Elephas maximus indicus: one gene and its partner. The protein of the gene in region 2 interacts with the protein of the main gene of each other region in a biochemical or structural test. Links are inferred from orthologs where the notes say so. Each region holds a gene or a part of one and is shown on either strand. Other genes may lie near its edges.

Region 1 (14,803 bases), on a different chromosome or scaffold from region 2:
TGCATCCCACTGCTCTCCTGCTGCCTCAGGGGCTCTCTGTTGTGTTCCCTGTCAGAGCAGTCATCGGTTGTAGCCGGGCACCATGTAGTTCTTCTGGTCTCAGGCTGACGTAGTCTCTGGTTTATGTGGCCCTTTCTGTCTCTTGGGCTCATAATTACCTTGTGTCTTTGGTGTTCTTCATTCTCCTTTGCTCTGGGTAGGTTGAGATGAATTGATGCATCTTAGATGGCTGTGTGCTAGCGTTAAAGACCCCAGACGCCACTCCCCAAAGTGGGATGCAGAATGTTTTCTTAATAGATCTTATTATGCCAATTCACCTAGATGCCCCCTGAAACCATGGTCCTCAAACCCCACCCTGCTACGCTGGCCTTAGAAGCGTTTGGTTTATTCAGGAAGCTTTCTTGCTTTTGGTTTAGTCCAGTTGTGCTGGCCTCTCCTGTATTGTGTGTTGTCTTTCCCTTCACCTAAAATAGTTCTTGTCTACTATCTAATTAGTGAATACCCCTCTCCTTCCCTCCCTCTCCACTCTCATAACCATCAAAGAATATTTTCTTCTCTGTTTAAACTATTTCTCCAGTTCTTATAAAAGTGGTCTCAGAAAAAAAAAATTTCTTATAAAAGTGGTCCTTTTACAACTGATTTCCCTCAGCATAATGCCTTCCAGATTTCTCCATGTTATGAAATGTTTCACAGATTCATCATTGTTCTTTACCAATGCACAGTGTTCCCTTGTGTGCATATACTATAATTTATTTATCCATTCATCCGTTGATGGGCATCTTGGTCGCTTCCATCTTTTTGCTATTGTGAACAGTGCTGCAATGAACATGGGTGTGCCAATATCTGTTCGTGTAAAGGCTCTTATTTCTCTAGGATATATTCCAAGGAGTGGGATTACTGGATTGTATGGTAGTTCTATTTCTAGCTTTTTCAGGAAGCACCAAATCGACTTCCAAAATGGTTGTACCATTTTACATTCCCACCAGCAGTGTGTAAGTGTTCCAGTCTCTCCACAACCTCTCCAGCATTTATTATTTTGTGTTTTTTGGATTAATGCCAGCCTTGTTGGAGTGAGATGGAATCTCGTTGTAGTTTTGATTTCCATTTCTCTAATGGCTAATGATCATGAGCATTTCTTCATGTATCTGTTCGCCATCTGAATGTCTTCTTTAGTAAAGAAGTGCCTGTTCATATACTTTGCCCATTTTTTAATTGGGTTATTTCTCTCTTTGTAGTTGAGTTTTTACAGTATTGTGTAGATTTTAGAGATCAGACGCTGATCAGAAATGTCATAGCTAAAAACTGTTTCCCAGTCTGTAGGTAATCTTTTTACTCTTTTGGTGAAGTCTTTGGATGAGCATAGGTGTTTGATTTTTAGGGGCTCCCAGTTATCTAGTTTCTATTCTGATGTTTGAAAAAGGTTTTTTTTTTTTTTTTTAAGACACTGACAAAACTGTCTGCAATCCTAACACAGAAAAGAACCTCATTGTCTTTTAGTAATTCAACCAATACACGGACTAGCCTATGTACACACAGACCCAGAGGTATACACACATACACAGTAACTCACATACATACATGCCACTTCCACACACACATACTCCTGCTCCCATACACGCCCTTTCACTCACACATACACCAGTTCCCACACACATGCATACATCCCTCCACACCCACTCATACCAGCTCCAACATACACCTGCTTGCCCTTGTTCTGTCTTTCTCTCACACATACACACACACTACAACCTTCCACACACAAAGACATCCTCACACACACCAAACATGCTCACACACACTCAATCTCAAGGTTAAAACAGATAGGAAAGGACCCTGAAATAACTAAAAGGTACAGCCAAACGTCCTCCGGCCAAACCAAACTCATTGCCATCGAGTTGATTCCAACTCATAGCGACCCTATAGGACAGAGTAGAGCTGCCCCACAGATCTCCCAAGGAGCACCTGGTGGATTCGAACTGCAAACCTTTTGGTTAGCAGCCATAGCACTTAACCACTATGCCACCAGGGTTTCCCCAAATGTCCCAGGGACTACCAAATGCCCACCACCAAAGGTGCACAAATGAAAAGCAGGGAGACCCTCTGAGCGTCAACACTTACTTCAGGAGCTGACTTCTTACAGGTACTGACAAAGACAGACAATGACTATCAAGGTTACTGAAGGGCATTCAATGCTTCAACGTGCAGGATTCTCTGAAAGGTCTCAAGGTGACTATCAAAATGTAAATGATTAAACCAATAAAATGTGTAAGCAGTCTTTAAGATTATACTTAATTCCTTTGAAAAATAAAACAAAAAGAAGCCTATACTTTCTCACACATTCTTAGAATTAATTTTATAATTTCTGCTTTATGATGGGTTGGTTCTGATTACAAGAGCATTAGTCCTCTCAGTATGAAGGGGTCATGTCAGAAAGAATCTTCAGAAACGGTCAAAACCAAAAGCAAAGAAGTTTCCTGAATAAACTGAATGCTTCAAAGGCCAGCGTAACAGGGGCGGGGGGTTGGGGACATCTAGGTCAATTGCCATAATAAAATCTATTAAGAAAATATTCTGCATCCCATCTTGGAGAGTGGCTTCTGGAGTCTTAAACGCAAGCAAGCGGCCATCTAAGATGCATCAACTGGTCTCAACCCACCTGGAGCGAAGGAGACTGAAGAACACCAAAGACACAAGGTAAGTATGAGCCCAAGAGTCAGAATGGGCCACATATGTCAGAGACTACATTAGCCTGAGACCAGAAGAACTAGATAGTGCCTAGCTACAACCGATGACTGCCATGACAGGGAACACAACAGAGAATCACTGAAGGGGCAGAAGAGCAATGGGACGGAGACCTCAAATTCTTGTAAAAAAGACCAGATTTAATGGTCTGACTGAGACTAGAAGGACCCCAGAGGTCCTGGTCCCCAGATCTTCTGTTAGCCTAAAACAGGAACCATTCCCAAAGCCAACTCTTCAGACAGGGATTGGACTGGACTATATATAAGACAGAAAATGATACTGGCGAGGAGTGAGCTTCTTAAATCAAGTAGACACATGAGACTATGTGTGCAGCTCCTGTCTGGAGGTGAGATGTGAAGGCCGAGGGCGATAGACGCTGGCTGAATGGACATGGAAATACAGGGTGGAGAGGAGTGTGCTGTCTCATTAGGGCGAGAGCAACTAGGAGCATATAGCAAGGTGTATGTAAGGTTTTGTATGAGAGACTGACTTGATTTGTAAACTTTCACTTAAAGCATGATAAAAATAAGAAAAAAAAAAAAAAGAAATGGTCGAGGCCTTATAAATAACCTTTTCCAGCTCCACAACTAATGCCTGGACAAAACTGACTACAGATTCCTGCTTCAAGAAGACACAACCAAAAAGCTCCCCTGGAGTCCTCTCTGTCCTTTCTTTTGCTGACTCCTGCTAACACTGTGTTACACTACACCACACCTGATCTACCACCAGATGATGTAATAAAATCCAAACACACCTGACACCACTAAAAAAAAAAAAAAAAAAAAAGGGACACAAAAGCCATCTGTATTTTATAAATGGGAACTGCTTCTATTAAAAATTCAGATAATCCACTTACATAATTTAGAATGTTACCTTCATAAACAGATTATATAGAGGATACTGAACTTGCTACCTCTGAAAACTTAATAATAATCAAGAGAACGTAGTTGCTTTCATCAAGGACAGTAATGTGACCGGCTTGAGTCTCCTGCACTCCATATTTTGAAATCGCAAGGTGGAAAGTACAAAAACCTAAGGTCTTGATTGTTGTTTAACTGAACTGTTCGTACAGTTTTAAAATAATCATGAATGCTTAGAAAAGAAACCTTATCTCTTAGAGAAGTATGCTGAAGTACTTATGGATGAAATGACCTACTGTCAGGAATCTGCTTCAAAAATAACCTGGGGTAGGGGCAGGTGAGCTTAGAGATGAAACAAGAGTGCTGAAGATGGCTATGGGGTTTCATTCTTTTTACTTCTGTGTATGTTTAAGACTTTTCATTTAAAAAGTTTAGAAATTATCATCATGCGGTGGACTTCTCTAAACTCCTTCACTGTAAGAGAATATTTCTTCTCTTTGCTCCTCTATAATGTACGCTGACGTTGGACTAGGTAAAAACAAGCCTGAAACACAATTAAAAAAACCCATCACCCTCAAGCTGATTCTGACTCACAGCGACCCTACAGGACAGAGGAGAATTGCCCCAAAGGGTTTCCAAGCAGTAGCTGTTGGATTCGAACTGCCAACCCTCTGGTTAGCAGCCAAGCTCTTAACCACTACACCACCAGGGCTGGCAAAAGCTTAAATGGACATAAAAGTTAACTTTTCATTACCCTGTAAATTATCTACTCCAAAATAGCAACCTAAACAGCTCAAAGAAACCACGAGCTCTCCTCCACCACCCCAAGAACAAGTTTCAACGAGGAAAATCCAAGTCAAGACATCTGCATCTCTTCCAACAGTCCTCTTCCTGAGCAGTCTGGAAGAGCAGACAGAAGCTCCTCTGCATTCTCTGGTCTCTCCAACCCCTGAGTCATCTGGCCTTGCCCCCAAACTTCAAATTCCAACAGACACTGTCAGAGCAAAGGAGCAAAGACTCATTTCTATTTTGTAATGATAAGAAAGCTCAGCCCTAAAGAGCAACCCAAAGTTTTTCCCACTGTGATCAAAGTTACAAGAGATGTTTCTCAAGTGAAAAGAGCTTTACGGAAATCAAAAGATAAAGGTTTGCAGGGATATTTTTGAGCCACCAATTAAATATAAGAAGTAGAAACCATGTAAGAAGGATTAAGAGAGAAAGACCTAGTTATAGTCCCTGTTCTAGCACTGACTAGTTTGAGGACTTGGAAAAGCTATTTAACCTTTCTGGGCTTTCCAGTTTCTTATCTGTAAAGTGGAGATGACTCCTGCTTGCCTACTTACCACCTCAGAGACTCATGATGAGGATCCAGTGAAACTGACAAAGAGCATCATGTAAGCTATAAAGTATTTATTCTACCGGAGTCAGGGCTGGTAAAGATGAGCAAACAGGATGCTTTCCTAAGGCCTTTGATTGGTGTAACGAAGCAAGAGCACATGTTTGGATAAAAAAGATACATCATACTAGTAAACAACAACCAAGGATACCCAAGGTGCTCCTGGGACTAGAGGCAAGAAGGAAAATATCAAGAGTTCAGGCCAGCAACCACAACCCATGACAAACATACAGGAAACTATTGGTTGGATAGCTTTTCGCCCATTCGAAAAAGAGATGGGAGACCTGCTCTGAGAAATGCCATGTGGTCATTACACTGACACCAACAATGTTCAGGATGCCCAGCACATACCTGCACATCATTCTGGACTGTCAGGTCAGCAAGAAGCCCTGATTTACTTGGACTGCTCAATAAAAAAAAAAAAAAAAAAAAATTTAATAGGAACTGTAAATACTCTGGGAGCTCAAAATCCCTCATAAAGGTTAATAGCAGGGTGTCAATTTTACCTCTTCTTAAAGACCACCTTGGCTCAAACATGCATATGTACTTGAACAGCCACTTAACAAATGTCTGTGTGTATGAGAAGAAAATATGAAAATCAGCAGATTAGCACTTAAGTGATTTCCTACCAAGTTAAATATTTAAAAGTGAACACTGGCGAGCTATGTGCTAACCACTGGATTTCTAGCAGAACACACATGCCTGCTTCTGTCTCCACCTACCCTGGTGGTGTAGTGGTTAAGTGCTATGACTGCTAACCCAGAGGTCAGCAGTTCGAATCAGCCAGGCACTCCTTGGAAACTCTATGGGACAGTTCCACTCTGCCCTATAGGGTCGCTATGAGTCGGAATTGCCTCGACGGCAGTTTTAGGTTTAAACTTTCCTAAGTGCTGACACAGACAGGAGAGGAATGGCTGTAGCAGCCCCAGCACTAGGTGCATTCTCCACCTATCTACAGTCTCACTCCGCCTACAAGCGTGGGGCGGGGGGGGGGGGGGGGGAGGGGAGCACTGGTGGAGTCCTGCAGGCTCTTTGCACTCCCCAGGGTGCCCCAAGGCTCATTCCCTTTCCTTCCACACAAAAGGAACAGAAGTCAAAATTTTTAACTCCAAGGACTTTCTACAAGCATCCCCTGTCTTCTAAACAATAAAAGAGGCCAATTCTAAGTAAAATATATGCCAACAACACACAGCAAAGTAACTGCTCAAAATCGGGGTCTATTGGTCTGGTCTAACAGGGCCTGCAGCCTGGCCTTTGCGGTCCTAACCCAAAACACTTCGTGCATTACTTCAGCCAAGGCAGAGAGCTGGGGAAACCACCGTGGGCCTTCTTCTTTGGGGAGAGGGAGGGCATCTTCATTAGGCAGCTTCGGGGGATGCCGCGGGGGCCACAAGCTAACCCTAGTTTAGGACGAATCCAGCTGTGTAGAGCTGGGGGGCAGGCAAGGGAAAAAAACGAGGTCCCTGAAATAAAACTCCCTTTTTTATAAGGGGGAAGAGGCTTTAGCTAAATTAAACCAGAGATGAAGGCAGAAGAGCGGAATAAAAAGGAAAAGCAGGTACCGAAGTCCTAACCAGCATTTCACGACCCCAGCGGACGTCTGCCCCCGAACTACACTGCAGGAGGACGGCCACGGCCCCGTACCTGCTCGGCCCCGTAGACCGTGGCAAACTGCACGAAGTCTTCGATGTGCACGAAGCCGTCCCCGTCGCTGTCCAGGGCCTCGAACACGGCTCGGAGGCGGGGACCATCTTCCGGAGCCCCCGCGGGCTCGCTCGGCCCGGGGTGCGTCTGACCGGGTTGGTGCGGAGGCCCCGGGCCCTCCAGCGTCCGCTCGCCCTCCGCAAGGGCGGAGAAGGGCGCAAAAAAGCCTCCCTGGGAGCTCATCTGGCGGCGGGACTCGAGGTCCTCCACGCGCAGACACGCGCTCTCCCGGCAGCTCGGGGCAACGTGCTCCCCCGGCTCCGCGCTCCAGGGGAAGAACGGGCCGGGCTCCGGCAGAGGCGGGTCGGGGCCGGGACCGGAGGCCGACGCCGGCGGGGGAAGGCCGCCTCCTGGGCCCAAGGGGCCGGCGTCGGAGCAGGTGTCCTCGCTGGCGCCGGGGTCCGGCTCCTGCCGCGGGCTCCCGCCCGGCCCGGGGTATGCTCCAGCACGGGGCCCCTCGCCCGGCGGCTCCGCGGGGCCCGGCTCCATCTTCATGGGCGCGGCGCCGGCCTGGCGAGGCTGCGGCGGCGCGGGCGGCTCCACAGACGGACAAAGGCGCTCAGGGCGCGGCGGCGGGCGCGGGCATCCCGGCGGCGGCGCGGGCGGGGGCGCCCGGGCTGCTCCGGCTGGCGCTCGGGCCCTGCTCCACCCTCGCCCATCTTCGCGCCGCGCCTCAGCTGCCCTCGGCCTGGCGGCGCGGTGGACGCGGGCCCATGGCTGCAGCGGCCCGAGGAGGCCGCGGAGGGGTCGAGGCGGGAGGGCAGCGCGGTACCGGAGGAGATCGAGGAGGAGCCAAAGCGCCTGAACAAGCTGAAATGCCAAGTGAGCCGACTCGGCCGCCGGGGCCCCTGGCCCCGCCCCCGCCTGAATGACGTCAGAACGCCTCGGCGTCTGCAGACCCCGCCCCTCCCAGGCCATATAGAAGAAAGTCGGCGCCAGGTTCCGGTCGGAGGTGCTGCTGCTGGCCCTGGGTGGTAACCGACAGTCTTGGTTGAGACCTGTAGCTTAGCCGTCTGCCTGTGGGTACCCTCCCTCGCTCCCTGCATCCTCGAAGTTTGGGCATGCGAGGGCCCCAGCGGGCGCGACGGCGACCTACGCACCCATCAGATAAATGTCGCCAAGGGGCAAGCGAAAAGCCCAAACTGTGCACATGTCACAAAGGAGCCAAGCCCTTCCTGCGTATGACGCGCGCACAGATTGATCAGCAAAGAGCAAAACCCAAACGGAATGGAGCGCACATTCCCTGAGGAAGCAGGTGTTCTTCAAGCAGGTGCCCGAGGTTGAGGGATGCCCCCGAGGTCACGCGCAGAGCGGTGGAGGTAGGCGTTCTTGCGGAAAGTGCGGCCCTTCCCACTCGGAACCGAAGGAACGCATCCAGAAGCAGCGAGACATTTGTTTCAACCTGTGGCAAAGGTTTTTAAAAACACGACGGCCAGAGTTACACTCGCGTCTCCATCACGCCTCCCGAGCGCTGTGTCTGTCTTGGTAATTGTCTGTTTTTCATGTGTCCCTGCCATCCTTGGGGAGCCAGGCACCCCTGGCAGGCATGGAACTGGAGACGTGCTGGTTAGGAGCAGGTGAGCTGTGAGGCCAGGCGGCGCTATATTTAGCCAGTGATGGAGTGTATCAGGGGAGATAATGAGCTCGTATTTTTATATACCGTGGGCACCGGCACCATATATGGTTTCGTATGTAGCTTTGGCAAGAGCCAAATGAAACCCAACCACGCTGTTTCTAAGTACATGCTTGAGGAGCAGTATGTTAATTAATGAATCATTTCCCATACAAAACCCCAGGGCACCAGATTTTGTGAGGCTGGCATTGGAAAAGGAAAAGAGAGGATTTCCTTCTCCCTCACCCCAAATATATTCTCATTTCCGTGTTCTAGCTGCAAGCTTTCATGTGGAAAATACTGGGTTCAAAGAAAAAGCCATCTCCAGTTAGGGCAAGAATTGGAAATTGGGCTGATGGGTCTCAGACACATTTTTCAGAGGCAGTTTTATTGACACATCATCCTTTATAAATAGGTGTGTTGGTGTGGGTGAGGTGACGCTTTCTATGTAAGATTCTGTCAGAGGGTAAGGCTGCTTGGGTGGACGGGCACTCCTCTGCGCTGCGCCTCCCTGGAAAATGTTGACTGCCTTACCCTCTGGTGTGCCCACAATGGCGACATCAAAAGCATGCATTTTCCTGCTTAGACTACCTAGAGAGAACTCTGTTCATGAAAAATTAAAAGCGGTAAGTTCCTGGTTATTCACTCAGATTCTAGTGGGTCCCCTTCATGGTCCATGTAAAATTTCAATCGAGAACATTCCAGCCCAGATTAAATGAGCCAGAAGCAATAGGAAGCCGCTTCTGCCGCCCTTTTGACAATGCCCTTCTCACGTTTATTTATATATTTAGAAAGGTAAAAAAGCACACAAGGCACCCTGGTGCTAATCAAAAGGTTAGTGGTTCAAACTCACCCAGCGACTCTGCTGGAGAAAGACATGGCCATCTGCTCCCTGTAAAGATTGCAGCCAAGAAAACCGTATGAGGCAGTTCTCTGTGTGGTCACACACAACAACACAACAAAAGGTACACAAAAGAGGAAGGGAGGGTGGGGTGCAGTGCACATCTGTTGGTTTTCAGAGCAGGTGAATTCCTGTGAAAAGCTCCCTCTGTAAAGCTTCACTTTTGAAAGGATGCTTGGGAGAAACACCTTTTGGGACTGGTTGGGCAGGTGGGTTTCCTTTATCCCTCTTCCCTGAGTGAACTTCGGCTTGTGGAGGAAGATGGGACCGATGAAACCAACCTGGGTGACTCAGCAGATTCCTGCTATGTGGCATAGGGAGGGGTAAAAGGGTCAGGAAACCTCAGGGCAAGCATGTCTCCCCAAGGGCCACTTCATCACCTGGTACTCAGTCACTGATAGGAGAGACAGAATCCTTTGTGTCCAGGAGAGGGTCAGGTTCAGAGGCCAGGCTCAATTCAATCACAGATTAATTTTTTTATGCACATTTTTTTTAAACTTGGAAGAAGTACACCGAAGTTATAGTAGACTCTGTATATGATTTTTTTGAGTCCCTAGGTGGCACAAATACTTAAGCACTATGCTGCTAACCAAAAGATTGGCAGTTTGAACCTACACAGAGGTGCCTCAGAAGAAAGGCCTGGTGATCTACTTCCAAAAGGTCATAGCCATGAAAACCCCATGGAGCAGCTCTACTCAAACACATGGGGTCATCATGAGTAAGGATCGATTTGATGGCAACTGGTTTGGTTATATATGATTTTCCACATTTTTGACAGTCAGATTAATATAAAATGCTATCTCCTTTTATTTGCACTTATCTTAATGCTAGTGCAGTTGAGCATTTATTTATTTATTGACCAACTCAGGTTCCACCTCTTCAAACTGCCCACTTGTATCCCTTGCTTGTTTTTCTATTGGGTTTTCTGAACTTCCTTAAAATCCCTTATCAGTTTTAGATGTTGCAAGTATCATCTCCATCCATGAACTCTGTGGGGGCCCTCTGTTAACAGAAATCTTTAATTTTGAGTGGTCAAATCCATCATTCCTCGAGCCTCCAGAGAGAGCATGGCCCTGCCGACACCTTGATTTCGGACTTCTGGCCCCCAACCTATGAGAGGATAAATTTCAATTGTTTTAAGCCACCGAGTTTGTGGTGATTTGTTACAGCACCCCTCAGAAAATAATATAGGAGCTGAAATAGCCAAAACAACCTTGAAACACAAGGGAAAAGTTAGAGGAATTAAACTGTCTGATTTTTAAGACTCATTGTAAAGCTAAAGTAATCAAAACAGCATGTTACTGGAGGAAAGATAGACATAGAGATTAATGGAACAGAATAGAGTCCAAGTACCAACACAATTCCAGGAGGAAAGAATAATTTTTTTAAAAGCAGTGCTGTTACAACTGGATATCCAGATGCAAGAAAAGTGAATTTAGTCCCTGTCATAGATTGAATTATGTCCCCCAAAAAATGTGTGTATCAACTTGGTTAGGCCATGATCCCCAGTATTGTGTGGTTTTCCTCCATTTTGTGATTGTAATTTTACCTTAAAGAGGATTAGGGTGGGATTGTAACAACCTTACCCAGGTCACAGCCCTGATCCAATGTAAACGGAGTTTCCCTGAGGCATGGCCTGCACCACCTTTTATCTCTTAAGAGATAAAAATGAAAGGGAAGCAAAGGGGTGGGGGGCCTCATACCACCAAGAAACCAGTGCACGTCCTTTGGAGCAGAGCCTGTCCTTTGGACCTGGGGTCCCTGCATGGAAAAGCTCCTACTCCAGAGGAACATTGATGAGAAGGCTGACAGAGAGAGAAAGCCTTCCCCTGGAGCTGGCGCCCTGAATTTGGGCTTTTAGCCTCCTTTACTGTGAAGAAGTAAATTTCTCTTTATTAAAACCATCTACTTGTGGTGCTTCCGTTATAGCAGCACTAGATAACTAAGACAGTCCCCTACCTCACCCTATAAAAGTTAGCTCAAGATGGATAATAGATTTAAATGTAAGAACTAAAACTATAAAACACCTTAGGAAAAGCACAGGAGAAAATCTTAGTGACTTTGAGTTTGGCAAAGATTTCTTAAATAAGGCAAAAACATGAACTATTAAAGAAAAAAATGGATAAATTGGACTTCATCAAAATTTAAAACTCAAGATGTACCTTTTCAAAAGATACTGTTACAAAAATGAAAAGACAAGCCAAGGACTGGAAAAAACTTTTTGAAAACATATATACAACAACTTGTAACTAGAATATGTAAGGAACTTCTGCAACTCAAAAAGACAAACAACCCAGTTTAAAAATGGGTAAAAGATTTAAACAGATACTTCACCAAAAAAGATATATGGATGGCAAATAACCACATGAAAAGATGTTCAACATCATTAGTCATTAAGGAAAATCAAATTAAACCCACAATGAGCTATTGTTTCACACCCACCAGAATGGCTAAAATTAAAAAGACTGATGATACCAAGTGTTGGCAATGATGTGGAGGAACTGGAACTTTCATACACTGCTGATAGGGATATAAAATGGCACCACTTTGGAAAACATTCTGGGAGTTTCTTCAAAAGTTAAATACACAACTTCCATATGATCCAACCATACCAGCCCTACAAAGATTTGTACATAAATCCTCATACCAGCTATATTTTTAATAGCCGAAACCTAAGAACAACCCAAATACTCATCAACAGGTAAATGGATAAACTGTGGTACATCCATACCATGGAATACCACTCAGCAATAAAAAGGTATGAGCTACTGATATACACAACATGTATGAATCTCAAAATAACGCTCAGTAGAAGCAGCTAGGCAAAAAAGAGTGCATACTGTATGATTCCATTTATTTAAAATTCTAGGAAATGCAAACTCACCTATGGTGACAGCAGATCAATAGTTGCTTGGCAATAGAGGGGTGGGGTGGGAGGGAGGGGTTACAAAGGGGCAGGAGGAAGGATTTGCTGGTGATATGTACGTTCATTATCTTGATTGTGGTGATGGGTTCACAGGTGTAGGCATGTCAAAACTCATCAAACTAACCACTTCACATACATGCAGTTTATTGTATGTTAATTATACTTTAATAAAACCCAAACCCATTGCCATCAATCCCGATTCATGGCGACCCCGTGTGTTACAGAGTGGAACTGCTCCACAGGGTTTTCTTGGCTATAATCTTTATGGAAGCAGATTGCCAGGCCTTTCTTCCGTGGTCCCACTGGGTGGGTTTGAACCGCCAACCTTTAGGTTAGTAATTTAGCACAAACCATTTGTGCCACTCAGGGACCTTCTACTTCAATAAAGCTAATAAAAAAAAACTGCCTGCCAAATATTTTTAATTTACAATTTTGAAAACTAGATTAACATTTTGTATTCAGCAAATCAGCTTACAGACAAAGTCAATTTTAAGTCTAGGTCACATTCTCCCCTATAATACTCCAGCATTTGTGACTATAGTTACCCACTCGTGTTTACTGAGATTTTATTCAGTAGGGAAAGATTTTTTTTCCTCACCTTCAAATTTGGTAAAGTGCCTTTCTTAGAGTTAAAATGGAACATCAGTTTGTAAGAACAGTTTAATCCTCCTGACTCAGCCTGAGGTTTTGATGATTTTAACATTTCTCTCTGAAATCACTAACACCTTCCTGCGATGACAAAGCAGCTACAGTGGACAAGTCCTCACCACACCTAGGGCTCTTTGTTGTTTATATTCTGGCTCCAATCTTGCCTCCCCCTTGACCAGAATCACAGATTGGGGAAGGCACTGAGGTTTGTACAAGATTCAGAACTTCCTTTTTTAGCCACAGGTTACATTTCCCAAAGAGGTGCTGATCTAGTTCACATCATTCCCCTTTCCTTTGGGTGAAACTGTCTGGGTTACATGAGATGGTGGAAGAGTTACAAGTTAATTCTGTATTTTTTGACAAAATATTTATCATTTCTTCTTCTTTAAGATACCTCCTGGGTCCCATCTTATAGAGATGCTCTGGCATACAGATGTGATGGGGCACGCTCCCCTCAAATTGGAGATAAAGTTATTCTCTGAGAGGTCAATTAGTGGAATCGTGTGTACCAATTAAATTTGTCACCGAAGAGATCACCCAAGAGATAATCAGTAATAAATGACCAAGAGTCTGGAAGCCTGCACCCATCTAACAAGGCAGTGTAGTCTAATCTCAGAACGCTAACTAGAGCCTAGTGGTAAATATGAAATGCAGTGCTTCGCTGTGTGCAGAGGTGGGAAGCACTAGTTATTTCATAGAAGGGCCCCAGTTAGCACGGAGCAAGGAAAAGGGAGGTCTGTAGAAGGGCCCAGACCACCGTGGTCCGCAGGAGAGAGGAGCCGGCTAGGCAGAGTCCTTTGCCTCTTGGGTCTCCTGTGTCCCCACTGGAGTGGCCCAGCCCTGACAGGTACACAGCATACTGGCTAGGAAGGAAAGGGAAAGAAAAAGGGAGATGGGGTGGACAAGTCCAAGAGGGACACATGGGGAATGACCCCAGTGCCCAAGGGAGCCACACAGTAAGAGTCAAGCATTTGGGAAACGGGCATTAGTGCTGGGAACCCTGACCTCCAGGCCTTTCAGGGGTGACACAGGACAAAGCAACTACCACAGGAGCCATAGCCACATTTTATCAAGTTACCTTGGGAATGGGAGAAGTCAGAGAGAAGCTCCCCCAAATTAACACTTTATTTCTTGCCATTTAAAGGATTCCTTTGCTTTCTGGTTGCTGCTGCAGCCTTGCATATCATTTAACACATAAGCAATAACCTGCACGGCTCATGACAGGGTAGGGATCCAGTAAGTGGGGGTGTGTCTGTTTGTTCTCCCAACCATATGGCTTTGAGTGCCCTCCGAGTTGGGCAGAGTGCCAAGTGCTGGGACACAGCTCAAAGCAAAACAAAGCTCTGCCTCGAGGGGCCCCCACACAGATCAACATGACGCCAGTGTAGAGACAGTGCCCAAAAGAGAGGACTAGAGTCAGGTGGCAGCAGGGCTAGGACCCTGAGGGAGACCTTGGACTGTGGTCAGGGGAGGGCCTCCCGGAAGGCTCCCCTGATTCCACTACGCCTAGTGGAAGAGGAGTCCCAGAGCAGGCCGTAGAGTATGCCACACTTTGCTTGTAAAGTGTGTGTGTGCCCTCAGCGCGGTGCGGACGGGGGGTGGGGGGGCTGGCAGGCCACACCCCAGATGGTAGCCTTTCCGTGGTTTGTAGCCCTCTGGCCAGCATTTTTCTCTTTTTTTTTTAATTGCAGTAAAAGTGTATATATAACAAAACATTTGCCAATTCAACCATTTTTTACATGTATAATTTAGTGACACTGATTACATTCATCATGTTGTGCAACCATCACCAATGCCCATTTCCAAATTATTCCACCACCCTTAACAGAAACTCAGAGCCCCTAAGCTAAGACTCCCGTCTCCCTCCCTCCTGCCCCTGGCCACCACTAATAAACTTCGGTCTCTATACAGTTGCCTATTTCATATTAGTGTGATCGTACAGTATTTGTCCTTTCGTCTGGCTTTGTTCCCTCAGCATGTTTTCAAGGTTGTCCACGCTGTAGCATGAATCACA
Region 2 (14,803 bases):
CTGCTACTTATTATTAACATGTACCTCTCTGTTTTCTCATCTATAAAATGGGAGCCCTTTCTCCCAAGGTGGTTGTGAAGATTAAAAGAATTAACACACATGAAATGCTTAGAACAATGCCTGGAACATGGCAAACATTCGGTAAATGTTCTCATTCTTAAATTGTTTACCAGTTTAATCTCTTCAGGCCTGGCTACAACCTAGGACTTATTCACACAACTAACTTTTAGAAAGAAAAAGATAATTGAAAGAATGCACTTTGGTTTGCCATATTAGAATAAGCCTCCAAGATCTAATCTTTGCTTCTTTAACTCCCTCAATAAATTTGTCTCTTTCCTTTTCATCTGCTACACCCTTCTCAGGCCAGACTACTCAGTTTTAATGGCAATCAGCCATAAATAGCCAGTTTCATGGGTCTTTCTATGAACTACAAGTGCTTTCACCTTTTTTAGAGCTTATTTATAAATGTCTTCCATAATACTCATTTCTATAACTCTTGCTAAATTGTTTAGTTTCTCTTTTTAAATAGTTTTAGGTTCCCACACAGTACTTTATAGGTATGTTCCAAGCATTATAGAGCAACTCTCCAAGCAAGAAATATTTCATGTGTGAAGTAAAGTTTTCTCGTAGTTTATAATGGTTAAAGGAGTAATGCCATTATCATGCAACATATTAGTTTCCAAGTCAATAAAACACTTCCTTTTTAAAAGTTTCATAATATAAAATACTGGATTCAGGACTCGAATACAGTTAACACCAAATGAATAAAAACCACAGTTCAGTGATGTTATCTGAACCTATTCCAAACTTATCTGGGTTTTATCTGGAAGAAAGGGCTCTTTAACAGAGAAGCGCATTTACCTTAAATCCAAAGATCAGTAAAACTACCATTAAAAAAGGGAAACACTTAAAATGAAATTATTCACAAAATTTTAAAGACTGTTAAAATTGATATTGGTACTGAGAAACTCCTGATTTCACACATTTAAAATTACTCGGGGAGAAAAAAAATCCAGGCTAGGCTATTCTATATTTGAAATCAGTAACAGGTCTCAGGGCTTACTAAATGTGCAAATTCCATTAATTACATATGCCACTGTTTTCTAAAATTTTGATTAGAACTTATTCATTTAACAATGGTCTTTCGCTTTAAATTGTTGGATTTCCTTAAAATCTTGGTAAGGTCTTAAAAACTGGTCTTTAGACCCAGGGTCCACAAATATTTTCTATAAAAGGCCAGATAATATTTTAGGGTTTTCACACATACCGTCTGTCACATATTCATTTTAGTTTTTTCCTTACAATTCTTTGAAAAATAGGCCACATCCAGATATACCCTTGGCCATAGTTTTCCCACCTATGATATACACATATCTTTTATGTTACGTCAATTCCAGGGTGATATTTTCTTCCTTCAAATATTTGCTCAAGTGTCACCTTTAAATGAGGCTTTCTCTGAACATGTTCCTACCTAGTCCCCTATATATAACATACCATATAACATATAGTCCTAGTCCCTAACACCCTATAAATTTACTTATCATCTGATCCTCATAAGGCCACCAACCCCCAACAAATACAAGTTCCATGAAGTTCGATGTTTTGTCCGTTTTTCTGTTGTTGTTGTTGATGTATCTCCTGCACCTAGTGCTGCCACAGGCGTATTATTAGTAGGCTTTCAGTAAATATGTTTAATAAATATACCCTCATGCTTATAAAACAAGCACTAAAAAAAACCCCAAACCTGTTGCCATTGATTCCAACTCAAAAACAGGCACTATGAGGGAAACATATATCCTATATGAGATACATTAAAAAGGGCAAAAATGTCCAAGGACAAGATGGCTAACAGAACACATTGATTTTAAAATTCTTTCTAGTCATAAAATATTAGAAATAAAGGCAAAAAAAGGTTAAATTTCCAAGCATTTTCTTACTGTACCAAAGATTAGTTCTTATAGTTTTTAATTACCTTGAAAGTAAGTTTGCCATTACTTTAGCTTCCTAAGTAACAAATTTCAGTTGTTATTCCTAACCTTCTGCAGACCTGTTCTGTCTTCTTTGATCTCATCTGTATGTTCCCTGCCCATTCAACTCACTGATCTAGTCTAGCAGCTTTTTCAAGTTTCTCGCAAAGAAGTTACTTTGCCTCTTCTACGGCTCCGTCTCCCAACACTTCATTTATAAACTTCTAATACAGTAATCTTTCCAATTTTGTCTTCTACTATTCAATATAAACAAATAAGCTAACTCTATTGAATATTAAATTTATACTTAATGTTATATTGCAAATACATTATGCTCAGTGATCAGTCAGACTTGAAGTTATTTTTAATTGCTATACGTGGTTTTACAAATGCCAATTTCTACCTATAAGAAAAGACAGAAGACTGGATTTATTGTAACCCTGACAAACACTTGGTAAGGTACTGAGAAAATAACTCTGGGGAGTTTTTAAACTCCTTCACCATTCAGATTATGGCTACTGTATTTCTAAACTTATATTAAACCATGAAAAGCCATCAAAGAGTAAAATATTTTCTATTGCTAATGCTGATAATAGTTGACATTCATTAATAAATCACAGTACTAAATATATTAATAAATACTAATGTGGGAATTATAGATCACATTAAAGCAGTCTAAAATCAAACTACAAAAATTACTGATGCAGGAAGGAAAGCTTACCAGAGGAAATGTTTTTAAAAAGAACCGTTTTATCTAAGAAGTTATTCTTTGTTTACTATTTCACTTTCTAAATGGCTACAATTCTGCCAATTTTATCAGATAAGCGGCTTGGACCTTTAAAAAAAGGTCTAACTTTAAAATCCAGAAATATATTGTCAAGGGTTAAGACAACTCCTTAAACCAACTCTTTAGACACAACTCTGTATTCCTAAAAACGACAAGGTTGTAATTTTGAAACAAACGGTAGCATAAAAGACTGCTATAGAACGTTAATTTTTAAAAATCATCTTCAACTGTTTTGGTGTCCTACATCATCAGGAAAATCAGATTAAACCTGGTGGAACTAAGAGGGCAAGACTCCTTATACAGCCAGTATTCACAAGAACCAAATTGATCCCCCTTTTTGTTCTCATAAAAGCCAGGAGACTCCCAAATTAAATCACTTTATGCCATATTTCCATGGAAAAATAACATAGCCCAACATACCACACACCCCACTTATCTAGTTCAAACGAGTAACATAACGTGAGAAACTGCACTGTGTAATTCCTTTATTTTCTGCATATCAGTGCTTTACCAACACTACAACCATAAAGAACACAATTCCAAGAACCGTACTTTTTAGTTTGGGGAGATCACAGTCTACAGACTCATTTACTTAGACAAGATTAACCTCATTCAAAACTTACTGCAGTTTATAAATTCACATAAATACAGAAGTTGATGCAATTAAACAAAAACTTCAAGATCTTTTTTTTTGTTCCTTAAATTCTTAAGACTATAGCTTCTGCAGCGTATAATTACCTCCGCCATGATCACCAATAGTTATGGTTCGATTTACCTACATCAATTATAAATCTCTTTATCCTTAAAATGTGAGAATTACAATTTCTTACCAAAGGATCTAGGGTTTTCCAATTTTCAAGTATTTGCTTCTCCCTCCCCCCGCTTCAGTCAGACATTTCAAATAAACCAAAAATAACCACATCTCACCTGCAACATTCAAAACCCATCATTTGATGTATAAAATTTTAACTGTCCCCACTTATTTTAAGACACACACACAAAAAATGGCTGCCTACCAATCTGTCACAAGTTAGAAATACTACATTTAAAAATTAACATGAGGGTTTCAAGTTTCCTCCAGTTTAGGCATTTATACCTTTGTGCTTGTCTTGTTTCAGGATGTTCCTACAGCATTGATATTTGTATAGTCCATGTTCATAGACCTTAAAATGTAATCATTTAAAACATTAAGAATTAAATTTATGATGGAGCTTTGGGAATTTTAAAGGCAACCAAAATATTCTTAGATGCATCTGTCAGCCTAATTTCTACATACTTCCACTAAAGTGAAACTGAACACTTTATACCTTAGTTGCACATTAAATTCAAAAATCCCTTTGCACCATTAGGAGGCTATAATATAGCACCTCTTCCCATCTGCTTTAAGGAAAACGTTTGTCAAGAGTTTTACTGTGAATAGTTCATCTTTTGTAACTTTATGTTTCTCATACATCTTTGGTAAAAGCTCCATTATACAATATGGCCAAAGCGTGAAGGACCAATACCGTCCAACTATACCATGATAACCCACTCAATTTTAGTCTGCAGATACCCTCATTAACAAAACCTTTTCCTGTATACTGCCTTTTCAGTCTTCATTTCTGAAGTTCCCTAAGTTTAATTCCTCGAGGATCTCTAAAATTAATCCTTAAGGCTATATAAGAACCAAATGCTGCTTCACAATTCTCTATCATGCATTATTAACATCTGGTTCAAACTATTATCATAGTGGTCTCAACAACCTAGTTACTGGTCCTAACCAGTTAAGCAAGTAATCTTGTTAGGATCTGAATATCACCAGTGAGCACACTGCTTACCCTTCAAAAGTAAGTTTACATTCATTGTCATCTGTAGGTTCTTTCTCTTCATCCTACTTTCCCTTTGTCATTCCTTAAGTCTACACATCATTTCCTTCCTTAAAGGAGATGGTATATTACTGAACCAACAAGATATGTGACTTACTACTTGCATGAGTTAATTTTACAATTTAACAAAATTATCTTTTTATAAAACATGTTTTCCAGTGTTCTAATTCATGAAGATGTTGATCACTCTTGTGTAAAAAAATGATTTATATGTTCAGCTTAATCAGTTGCTGTAATGTGAAAACAGGAAATGTGTTTTTTTTTAAGTAAAATGTGCATATAATTTGAATTGTTAAATGCTTTATTAACAAACAAAGTATTTTAAATCTACTAGTCTTAGCTGTTCAAAACAAGAAAAAAGTATATTTTCCAGATCTGCCAAAAAGTCACTTAAAGTATCTACAAATACTTCATCTGTGTGTGGCATACACCATTATTGCTCCAATTTCTGGAAAGTCCAAAGTTAAAAAAGGGAAAACACAGCAAAGTTGCTAGCTTTGCAGTGAAAAGATCTGTGTCCGTGACAGGTTACACTTTCAAAGTCTAATGCAGCATAGTTAGCTGTTATGGGGAACTTGGGTTTTATCCCTACTCATGCATGATGTATGTTTCAGAACTTTATAGCTGACGTTTCAAAGAACTTCTTACATTACCTGTTTAACATACTGATGTGCAACTGGAACATATTACAACGATATTACTCATTATTTGCCACTGTGGGCTAGATTTACTATACTGGTCTTAGATATAAAAGGTCACATTCGAAATTACCAAGTTAAAATCAGAACTCATAAGGGAGGGAAAAAGGCCTTAAATATAAAAGACAAACGGCAGTTTGATTAAGCAATAATTTTCAGTTTACTAGATGAAACAGACTTGCAACAGAGTCTGCATGAATGCAAAATAAGCCATCTACAGCAAGTGATAAGGAAACTGAACAAAAAGAAAAAAAGCATACATTGGAAAAAAAGATTCTCTCGAAATAAAAAAATCAAACCATTATTATAAAGGGCTTTACCAAGAATTGCTATATTTCCCCCACCCCATTTACTGGAAGTCAACAAGAGCATCTAGCACTTTTTGTGTTCATGTCAAATGACAGATCAGAGCATCCTAAGGCAAAGCAAAAGGAAAAAAAACAAAAAGAAAACCCTTACGCCACCCCCAACCATAGAACAGTAACTCCAGAGTTCAAATTCAAAAGAAGAGAAAGTGGCAACTGAAAGAGGTGATGGTGGCGATAATCCTATGAATGGGTTTTTGATATCTCTCCTTCCGGGGGAATGGGTGGAGAACACTCATTAGGATTTGTAGTTAGAGGTTAACCATGTGAGCCCCTCATAGAGTCCATCCCCTGAGGTGGCACAGGAGGGCTGCACATACCAGTTCCTGTCCCGAATCCGGGTCAGGCCCAGTTTCTCCTGGATCTCATGGGGTTTCATGGCATCGGGCAGGTCCTGCTTGTTGGCGAAGATGAGGATTATGGCGTCCCTCATCTCCCGATCATTGATAATGCGGTGGAGCTCCTGGCGGGCCTCATCGATGCGGTCGCGGTCGGCGCAGTCTACTACGAAGATCAGACCTTGGGTCCCGGTGTAGTAATGCCGCCAGAGCGGCCGGATCTTGTCCTGGCCGCCCACATCCCATACGTTGAACTTGACGTTTTTGTAAGTCACCGTCTCCACGTTGAAACCCACGGTGGGGATGGTGGTCACCGACTGGCCCAGCTTCAACTTGTACAGGATCGTGGTCTTGCCAGCCGCGTCCAGCCCGAGCATGAGGATCCGCATTTCCTTGTTCCCGAAGATTTTGGATAGCACCTTCCCCATCGCGTCGGAAGAGCCGGGGCCGGGGGCATTCAGGTGTCCCGGGTCCCCTCAGCCAACAACGCCGCCGCCGCCGCCGCGAAAACGAAACGAAGCCTCCCCGCCGCGAGGGCGCCCGTGCGGCCTTCGCTGGGAGTTGCCGCCTAAGGGCAGAGGCCCAGGCCCGCTGCTCACTCGGGCATCCCCAACCGAACACCCTGACTCCTCCTGTCGCCGCCGCTGCCGGGGCCCTGAGTCTGCGCCGGGAGAGCCGCCGCCCTGCTGAGGCGCGGCCCGGCCCGGAACTGCCCTTCCCCCCGCAGGCGCCGCACCAGCGCCGCCGCGGTTCCCGCTCCTCCGCCTTCTCCTCACCCAGCCACGGGAGACTGAGGCTCTCCGGCCGCCCGAGGTCCGTAAGCACCGAGTTCCCCACCGACCCAGGCCACCCGAGAGGCAGTGCGGCTCCGGCGCCTCGTCAGGTCATTGATCCTCGCGGGAACTCGGTTCGCTGCCTGCAGAAACACAGAGAGGAAGAGCGAAGTTACTGCCCGGGCTCCGAAAGGGAGCGGAGTCCGAGAGGCCCGCCTTTCCAGCTCAACCCGGGGGGTTACCTCCAGCCGCCGCCCCGAGCGCGGGCTCGCTCCGGCCTCTACCTCCTCCTCCCAGCTCTGCCGCCGCCACCGCCGGAAAAGGCGCCGAGGAAACCGCCTCACTTCCCCTCCCAACTACGCAGGCGCAGCAGAGGCCGACCGTTCGGACAAGAGCGACCTCTGTAAGAAGAGCGGCCCGCGCGCCTAGCGTCATGGGCGCCACTCGCTGGAGGAGGCGGGGCTACGGTAGCTCGGAGGCCTTGCGGGTGCGGCCCGCCAGAAGGCCCGCGAACCTTGGATTCTGGTCCGCGTCCCCCTGTCACTAGTCTAACTTCTCCTCGTCTCTCCGCTTTTCTCTCCCGCGCTCTGTCCTCCTCACTTCTACCCAAACCAGGGGAGTAAATCCACCTGGACTCCACATAGTGGGGCTCGCGGGGAAACGCTCCCACGACAGAACACCTCCCCCACGCCGCTTCCAGGCCTTTTAGACCTCGGTGCCCGCCAGATGCTCTCCAAGTTCCCTTCATCCCGCCCCAGACTCCGCGCACCCTCCGTCTCCCTGGGAAGCCCTATCCGCTGTTTTTACTTCCTTCCGGGCCTCTCCTTTATCTCTTGTGTTCTGTGTGTTTTCTGAAAGACACGTGGGAGGTCAGTGTTTCATGCAGAAATCTGTCAGTGCTGCACTTTTACCGGGCTACGTTTGCTCTGAAACCATTCTTTTGACTGGTTGAAACTTCTCTCTTACAGATCTCGTCAGGACCAGCCCACGTTTCTTAAAAATTACAGCATTTTGAATTCCCGTACCTTGCCGCGCTTTCAACTTTTTTAGGATGCTGAAAGTTTTTGTATTTAAATGTCTCCTTTATGTGATCAGTAGTGGTTTCTAAGTAAATACTCCCAATCAAGGGGAAAAACGAGTCCTGGTGGCGCAGTGGTTAAGAGCTTGGTAACCAGAAAGTCGGCGGTTGAATCTACCAGCAGTTCCTTGGCAGCCCAATGGGGCAGCTCTGTCTACTCTGTCCTGTAGGGTCGCTCTGAGTAGGAATCAGTGGATCAGTTTGCTTGTTTTAAAGGGAAAAAACCCGGAATATAGTTTTGTTTTTTTAATAAACATGCTGTAATGTAGCATGTGCTAACATTTCAAAATTTAAGAAAATTAATGATGGTAGATAGGTTAAAAACCTTATAAACTTAAGTATGAAATGAGTTTATTAATGTTATTAATATTCTAACAGTGATCTAATTTTCTTAATATTTGTCTTAAGAGGCACTGTAATAAAACGAAGAAGGATGTGGAATCAGAGGATCGGAGTTTGAATGTCACCCCTCCATTTCATAACTATGAATCCTTAAGTCTCAGCTTTTATGAACTGTTTGTTTTCCTGTAAAGTCAGGTTAAGATATTATCCCTAATGAGAATAAAAAATAGCCACCATTTATCGAGTGTACTGTACTAAATACTTCAAATATTGTATTTTATTTTAATACAGCACACGTACGAGGTAGCTTTGAGTATTAACATTTTATATATGAGGAAACTGAGAGTCAGAGAGGTTAAGTAATTTTTTAAAGGTCACAGAACTGAGATTAAATCATGAATCCACAGTCCATGCTCTTAATCCAAAAATTGTGCTATCTCCCTACCTCTGTCACACAGTTGTTTTGAGACTCAGTTACAGTATTTCTTAAGTGCTTTATAAAGTGCCATTAGCCATGGCCATACTTGGGGGAAGAATTTTTTCTTATGAGGCAAATAGTTCCAAGTATTATATTTTGATCCATTTGAACATAATAGTTTTCTCAAAGCAAATTACAGTTTTTACAAATAGGAGATCTGCTGGGCTTGGTATATGTATATACATATATAGATGTATAGTTAAGGAACAGCCTTTATTTTTTAGTGGAGGACATGATGTAACTAAAAACAGAAGCAATGAAGCACTAGCATCTACCTGGCACTGGCACTGTGCTAGAACTAAAAAATTTATTTTTAAAAGTCATTTCCCATTTATATTCTTCAGAATGCAAGCTTCACAGAGACAGGGACTTTGTCTCATTTAGTACAGTGCCCCCGTGACTAGAAGAAAGCATGTAAGTAGTAGCTAAATCTTTATTCAAATGAATTAATGTCTTTTATGATAGGCAAAACAAGACAGGAAAGGCACAGACTACTTTCATGATAAATAATAGGTCAATTGACAAGCTTTTCATATAGTGGCTTATCTTAGATATCTAAAGTGGATCATCATACTAGAAATTATACAGTGAATTATTTTAAGTAATAATGATAACACACAATAAATAATAATAAACCCATTGCCACCTAGTTGATTCTGACTCATAGCGACCCTGTGGGACAGACTAGAACTGCCCCATGTGGTTTCCAAGGAGCAGCTGGTGGATTCAAACTGCCGATCTTTTGGTTAGCAGCCATAGCTCTTAACCACTGGTCCGAAAGTAAATACATCAAAAAAATTGAACATTGTATGTAAAATCATGCCAGTTAAAAAAAAAAAAAAAAACCAAGTGAATTTTAATGAAACCAGAACTTCTGCAAGAGGTAAGTTTTGACAACTACTAAATCATAGCACTGATGTAACCTTTTGTTGATTTCTTCTTTAGTTTTAAAGTTATTACAATTTTAAAAGACTAAATTTCAGTTTTAAACATATTTCCTTTTGGTAAAATATAGATAAACTAAAATCGGCATTTATGGAACAAAATATTATACCTTTCAGTTTGCTTTATTTCACTGTTTTTAAATTTTGAAAACAAAGTTCCAAAAGCTAACTATGGAAAAATTGATCTATGCTTTTATTTCAAAGTCTGTAAATGAAGAGATTCCTCCAGCTTCCTTACAAACCACACTTCCATAGAAAGCCGTATTTCGTAATTTTTAATCTGACATCCACATAAAATATGCTTAAGCTTAAGACATCCTGACTAAAATACCAGCTTATAAGAAAAATATTTACTTTTTAAAAATGGCTTTGCTTTCTGATTTTAAAATGAATAATGACAACAGCAACTAGAAAAGATAGATGAGAAGCTTAGGGGGCAGTGAGTTTGTGTTAATGATGGTGAAATGGTTTGGAAAAGGTTGTTGAGAAAGGTGGCAGAATTTGAAGAATATAATCGATGTCACTGAATTACATGTAAAAATTGTAGAAGTACAGTATGTTGTGTATATTTTCACCAAAATAAATAAATGAATAATTTGTTTTTAAATTCAAGAATGAATCTTCTCTAATAACAGCACCCCTGACTGTTTACCCCTATTTTGGAATTCCTATAGCTCAATCCTTCAGTATTACAATGTGAGGCTTGAAATTTTTCTTCAGTTCTTTCAGCCTGAGAAATGTTGAGCATGTTCTTCTGTTTTGGTTTTCTATCTCCAGGTCTTTGCACATTTCATTATAATACTTTTCTCTAGCTGCCATTTGAAATCTCCTGTTCAGCTCTTTTACTTCATCATTTCTTCCATTCACTTTAGCTACTCTACATTCAAGAGCAAGTTTTAGAGTCTCTTCTGACATCCATTTTGGTCTTTTCTTTCTTTCCCGTCTTTTTAATGACGTTAGGGTCACTGCGAATCAGAACCGACTTGACGGCAATGGGTTTGGTTTTTTGTTTGGTTTGCTTTCTTCATTTATGATGTCCTTGATGTCATGCCACAACTCAGCTGACCTTTGGTCATTAGTCTTCATCAAATTTGTTAGTGAGATGGTCTCTAAATTCAGGTGGGATATACTCAAAGTAGTACTTTGGCTGTCATGGACAGTCTCACAGTAGTCAAGAAATCAACTTATCACATTAGGCAAATCTGCTGCAAATGACCTCCTCAAAGTGTAAAAAGTAAAACGTCACCTTGAAGACTAAGGTGCACCTGACCCAAGCTGAACAATGAATAAGAGGACCAAAGAAGAATTGATGCATTCGAATTAGGGTGTTGGCAAAGAATATTGAATATACCATAGACTGCCAGAACAACGAACAAATCTTTCTTGAAAGAAGTATATCCAGGATCTTCCTTAGACACAAGGATGGCAAGACTTTGTCTCTTGTACTGGAACATGTTATCAGAAGGGATCAGTCCCTGGAGAAGGACGTCATGCTTGGTAAAGTAGAGAGCGAAAAAGACCCTCAACGAGATTGATTGACACAGTGGCTGCAACAGTGGGCTTAAACAAAGCAAAGACTGTGAGGATGGCGCAGGACCAGGTGTTGTTTTGTTCTGTTGCACATACGGTTGCTATGAATCGGAGCCAACTCAACAGCACCTGTCAACAATGTAGCACTCCTAAAAATGACTCATTCTGTATGACCTGGTCGTGTTTCCTTTTATCCCATTCAGTGCCAGGACACTTGTGATCCCATGGCAAGGTGGACTGACCATATACTTGTTTAATGAAGATACCATCCCCTGTTTATTGTTTTATTTTGAACCTTTAGTCCAGTCTTACTCAAAACTGAGCTCTATCTAGTTTAGAGAAGGCACAGAGTCCTAGGAAGTCTATAAGATAGTAGAAATAAAAAGCAAATAAAATATGTAGAAAAACTACTAATTCTTCCCAACTGTAACTTTTAATTGGGGCAATAGAATTAGCCTTCCCTCAGTATTATACCTATGTGTTTATATAGCTCTCCAAGGGAGAGTCCATGTCCTTTTCATTTTTAGATCCTTAGTGCCTAGCATAATGCCTGGCACATAATGTAATAAAGTTCAAACATTTTGATGAAAACACAGACAGTAAAGATTGAGATTCTCAACAAAAAAAACTAAAAATATCCAATGAAAACAAGTTGTTTTCATTTGTAAAAATTTTCGTAACCTTAATGGATGTAGTAGTAGTGGATATCTTTAAATGTGTGAAGGGACACTTATGGAAACCAAAATGGTAGTCCTCTCCATCGTCCTCTCCCTATATCAGCTGAGAACCAACTTTTCTAGTTTTTCCTCTTTAACCAAAAAAAAAAAAAAATCACATCTTAGTTGAAACCTTGATAATTTATTTGGGTATGCTTAAGTATGAAGACATTACCTCATTTTTAACAAGATTAAAATTGGGAATGGTAAAACTAAAAGCATTGAATTATAGTTGATATTTTAGCAAATTTCTTAATAGTTATGGCTTCAGATCCTGAAAATAAATATTGACGCAAAATGGTCAAGTTACACCACTCGAAAGAGCTAATTTACATCCTTAAATTATCCCAACACTTCTGGAGTTAGGTATAATTTAAGAAAGGTATTCGTCTTTATTGAGCTGGAGTGGGTTATCCAAGAGGCAAGGTAGTGAACAATTTCACGTTTTTTCACCACATCGAAGGTTGTGTTTATGGGTATGGCTGGCATCCGTCTCTCTCCCAACCACACAGCATTTTCCTACAGAATGAAAGCCTCTTCAAATTTATAATCCCTGGCAGGGGTAGATGACCTAGTAAGTAAGGTAAGCACAGGCTTGCTTGTGCTTACTTACTAATCTGTAGTGAACAATTTCACTACAGATGACCTGGTAAGCAAGGTAAGCATTGTGCTTACTTTGTTGGATAATCTGTCCCTGTTACTGAGCATCAATTTCTCTATTCCTGCAGTAGGGAAGTCTCTCTTAATTGGTTATGGTCGTATGTATTCTGATTCCCCTTTACAGTTAAAGGAGCTGAGGCAATAAATAAATGATAAGAGATAATTCAAATTAAGATTTTCTAATCCAAGTCTGGTGTTATTTTCTCTACCATGCTGAATTATTATGTCCACCTGCAAAATCAGAACGATGGACAAGATCAATGTCTTTCAGGCCTGGCTGCACATTAAAATCACCTGCGCTGCTTTTAAACCACAGAAATGCCTGGGTCCCACCACAAATCAATAAAGTCAAAATATCTAGATTAGATTTTTTTTTAAGCTCCCTGACTGATTCTGATGTGCAGCTAAGATTCAGAACCACTGAAGTAATTGGTAAGTTCTTTTCCCATGTAGGTCTATGAATTTTGATCTGTCCTTGTTTTGTAATCCTTCACCTCCAAGATACACACCCAACACGCACAATTTTGCATACTATGGTGTAATAATACTTTAACCCCTGATATAACCTACCAAGACATTAGACCTATCCGACAAAGGTGTAAATGTATCTGAGATTCTTGCTAAAAGGTATTTTGAAAATTTACTCTTACAGAAATGATTAACCTGCTGAGCTGCTAACTGAAAGGTTCAAGTCTACACAGAGGTGCCTCAGAAGAACACGCTGGCAATCTAATTCTGAAAAATCAGCCATCGAAAACCCAATGGAAACAGTTCTACTCTGACACACATGGGATCTTCATGAATCGGAATCAACTCTATGGCAACTGGTTTATAGCTTAAATTATTAATAGAACCACCATCCACTAGTCAGCACCATTAAATGAGGAAGTGAGACAATATTTGGCAAGGAAAGGATGATCGAGCTCATAAGCACTAGACTAAAGCTTGTCCATGAATACTTGTCAACTTTGGCTGCCTCGTATGCAAACACCCCTCCTACTTGGGTCAATCCCAAATTAGGTGGAAGGCAAGATGAAAGTGGGCAAATAAATATTTCCTTCTCTACCTCCCTGGCGGCTAGAATTTGGGCACCTGAAATGGGCTTAACTAATTAACTAATCAGTGTCCTGGTCCAGGCTTTGAAAGATTTGAAATTCCAGGATTGCTGGGACAAATGTTCAGAGTGACTGAATCTAGCAGCATGGTGGCAGACATCCAGTGGCAGGAGTGCCAATGGCATCAAGTGTCATACAAAAGCAGTAGGGGACATATCCAACGCCAACTGTTCCTGTGACATAGTCTTGGCGGTGCCTGTCTGTGTCTATGTAGCCTTTCTGACGATTCTGTGAGCCTCCTGGTATGCTTCCAATAAAATTATTTTCTGCTTAGGTTAACGAGAGTCAGTTTTGATTCTAACTAAGAACCCTAACTGGTACACATTCTTATTCGAAGAATACAAAAATAAAATCATTTGCCAACAGTGTACAAATTGGACACCTGATTGGCAACCATATATATGTATTAGTAATTTTCTCATTAGGCAGCCATTTGAAAATGGAGTCAGACAAGCAGAATTCTAGAATCATCATTGCCAATCTATTAAAATTATGTTCCTTCTCATGGAAGTTTATGAGTATGTTATTTGCATATCCACCATTTAAGTCACTAAAATCGTTGGAGTGAGAAACATTATTTCACACCCTGGAGACATTCCTAACATCCCCTGTTAAGATGTATATAACTTTAGAAATTGGTTTTTCAATATCAGAAGAATATTTTTAAGCTAAAGAAAGATTATTACTTCAGCCTAAGCTGACAGAAAGTTTAAAATATTGATGCTCTGAGAAAGAATTTTTTGTTTTTTTTTTTTTTAAGAGTAGAGAGGCTAAGTTATTCAGACTGCTTGATTCAATATTTCAAACTTTGCGATGAAGTAAAAAAAAAAAATAGTGCACATTGGTGTTTGCAGTAACAGTTGTTGGGTCCTGTGCTATCAGCTACCCAGTTGTGTTGTTATTATACAATAATATACTGTACAGCTATAAGTGTCCTGGGGCAGATGGTGTGCTCTTCACGAAGACTCTCAAGGGACACCAAAGATCTGAGGACTAAAATCGTTGTCCTGTCTTCACAGTGGTTCCAGGTCTAAATTTCCTAGTTTATAGGTTTGGGGACTGTGAAGAAAAAATTTCTTAGAAAATCATAGCCAGGCAGATTCACATGGAATTTTCTCTTCCATGACCTTATCTTGCTTTATGCATA

The links.
Region 1: the proteins of ARF6 (region 2) and RAB11FIP3 form a complex in vitro, tested with the Homo sapiens proteins (2 studies listed by BioGRID). The link is inferred for Elephas maximus indicus from reciprocal best matches to the Homo sapiens genes ARF6 and RAB11FIP3.

What each region holds. Positions count from the first base shown.
Region 1 is NC_064830.1:57,689,577-57,704,379, reverse strand, and holds the start of RAB11FIP3 (rab11 family-interacting protein 3), read right to left. Parts: upstream 7,296-14,803; 5' UTR 7,198-7,295; coding exon 6,643-7,197; intron 1-6,642. UniProt on the Homo sapiens protein: Downstream effector molecule for Rab11 GTPase which is involved in endocytic trafficking, cytokinesis and intracellular ciliogenesis by participating in membrane delivery. Recruited by Rab11 to endosomes where it links Rab11 to dynein motor complex.
Region 2 is NC_064828.1:62,167,928-62,182,730, reverse strand, and holds ARF6 (ADP-ribosylation factor 6), read right to left. Parts: upstream 6,658-14,803; 5' UTR 6,449-6,657; coding exon 5,921-6,448; 3' UTR 3,223-5,920; downstream 1-3,222. UniProt on the Homo sapiens protein: GTP-binding protein involved in protein trafficking that regulates endocytic recycling and cytoskeleton remodeling. GTP-bound form plays an important role in the transport of multiple palmitoylated proteins form the Golgi to the plasma membrane.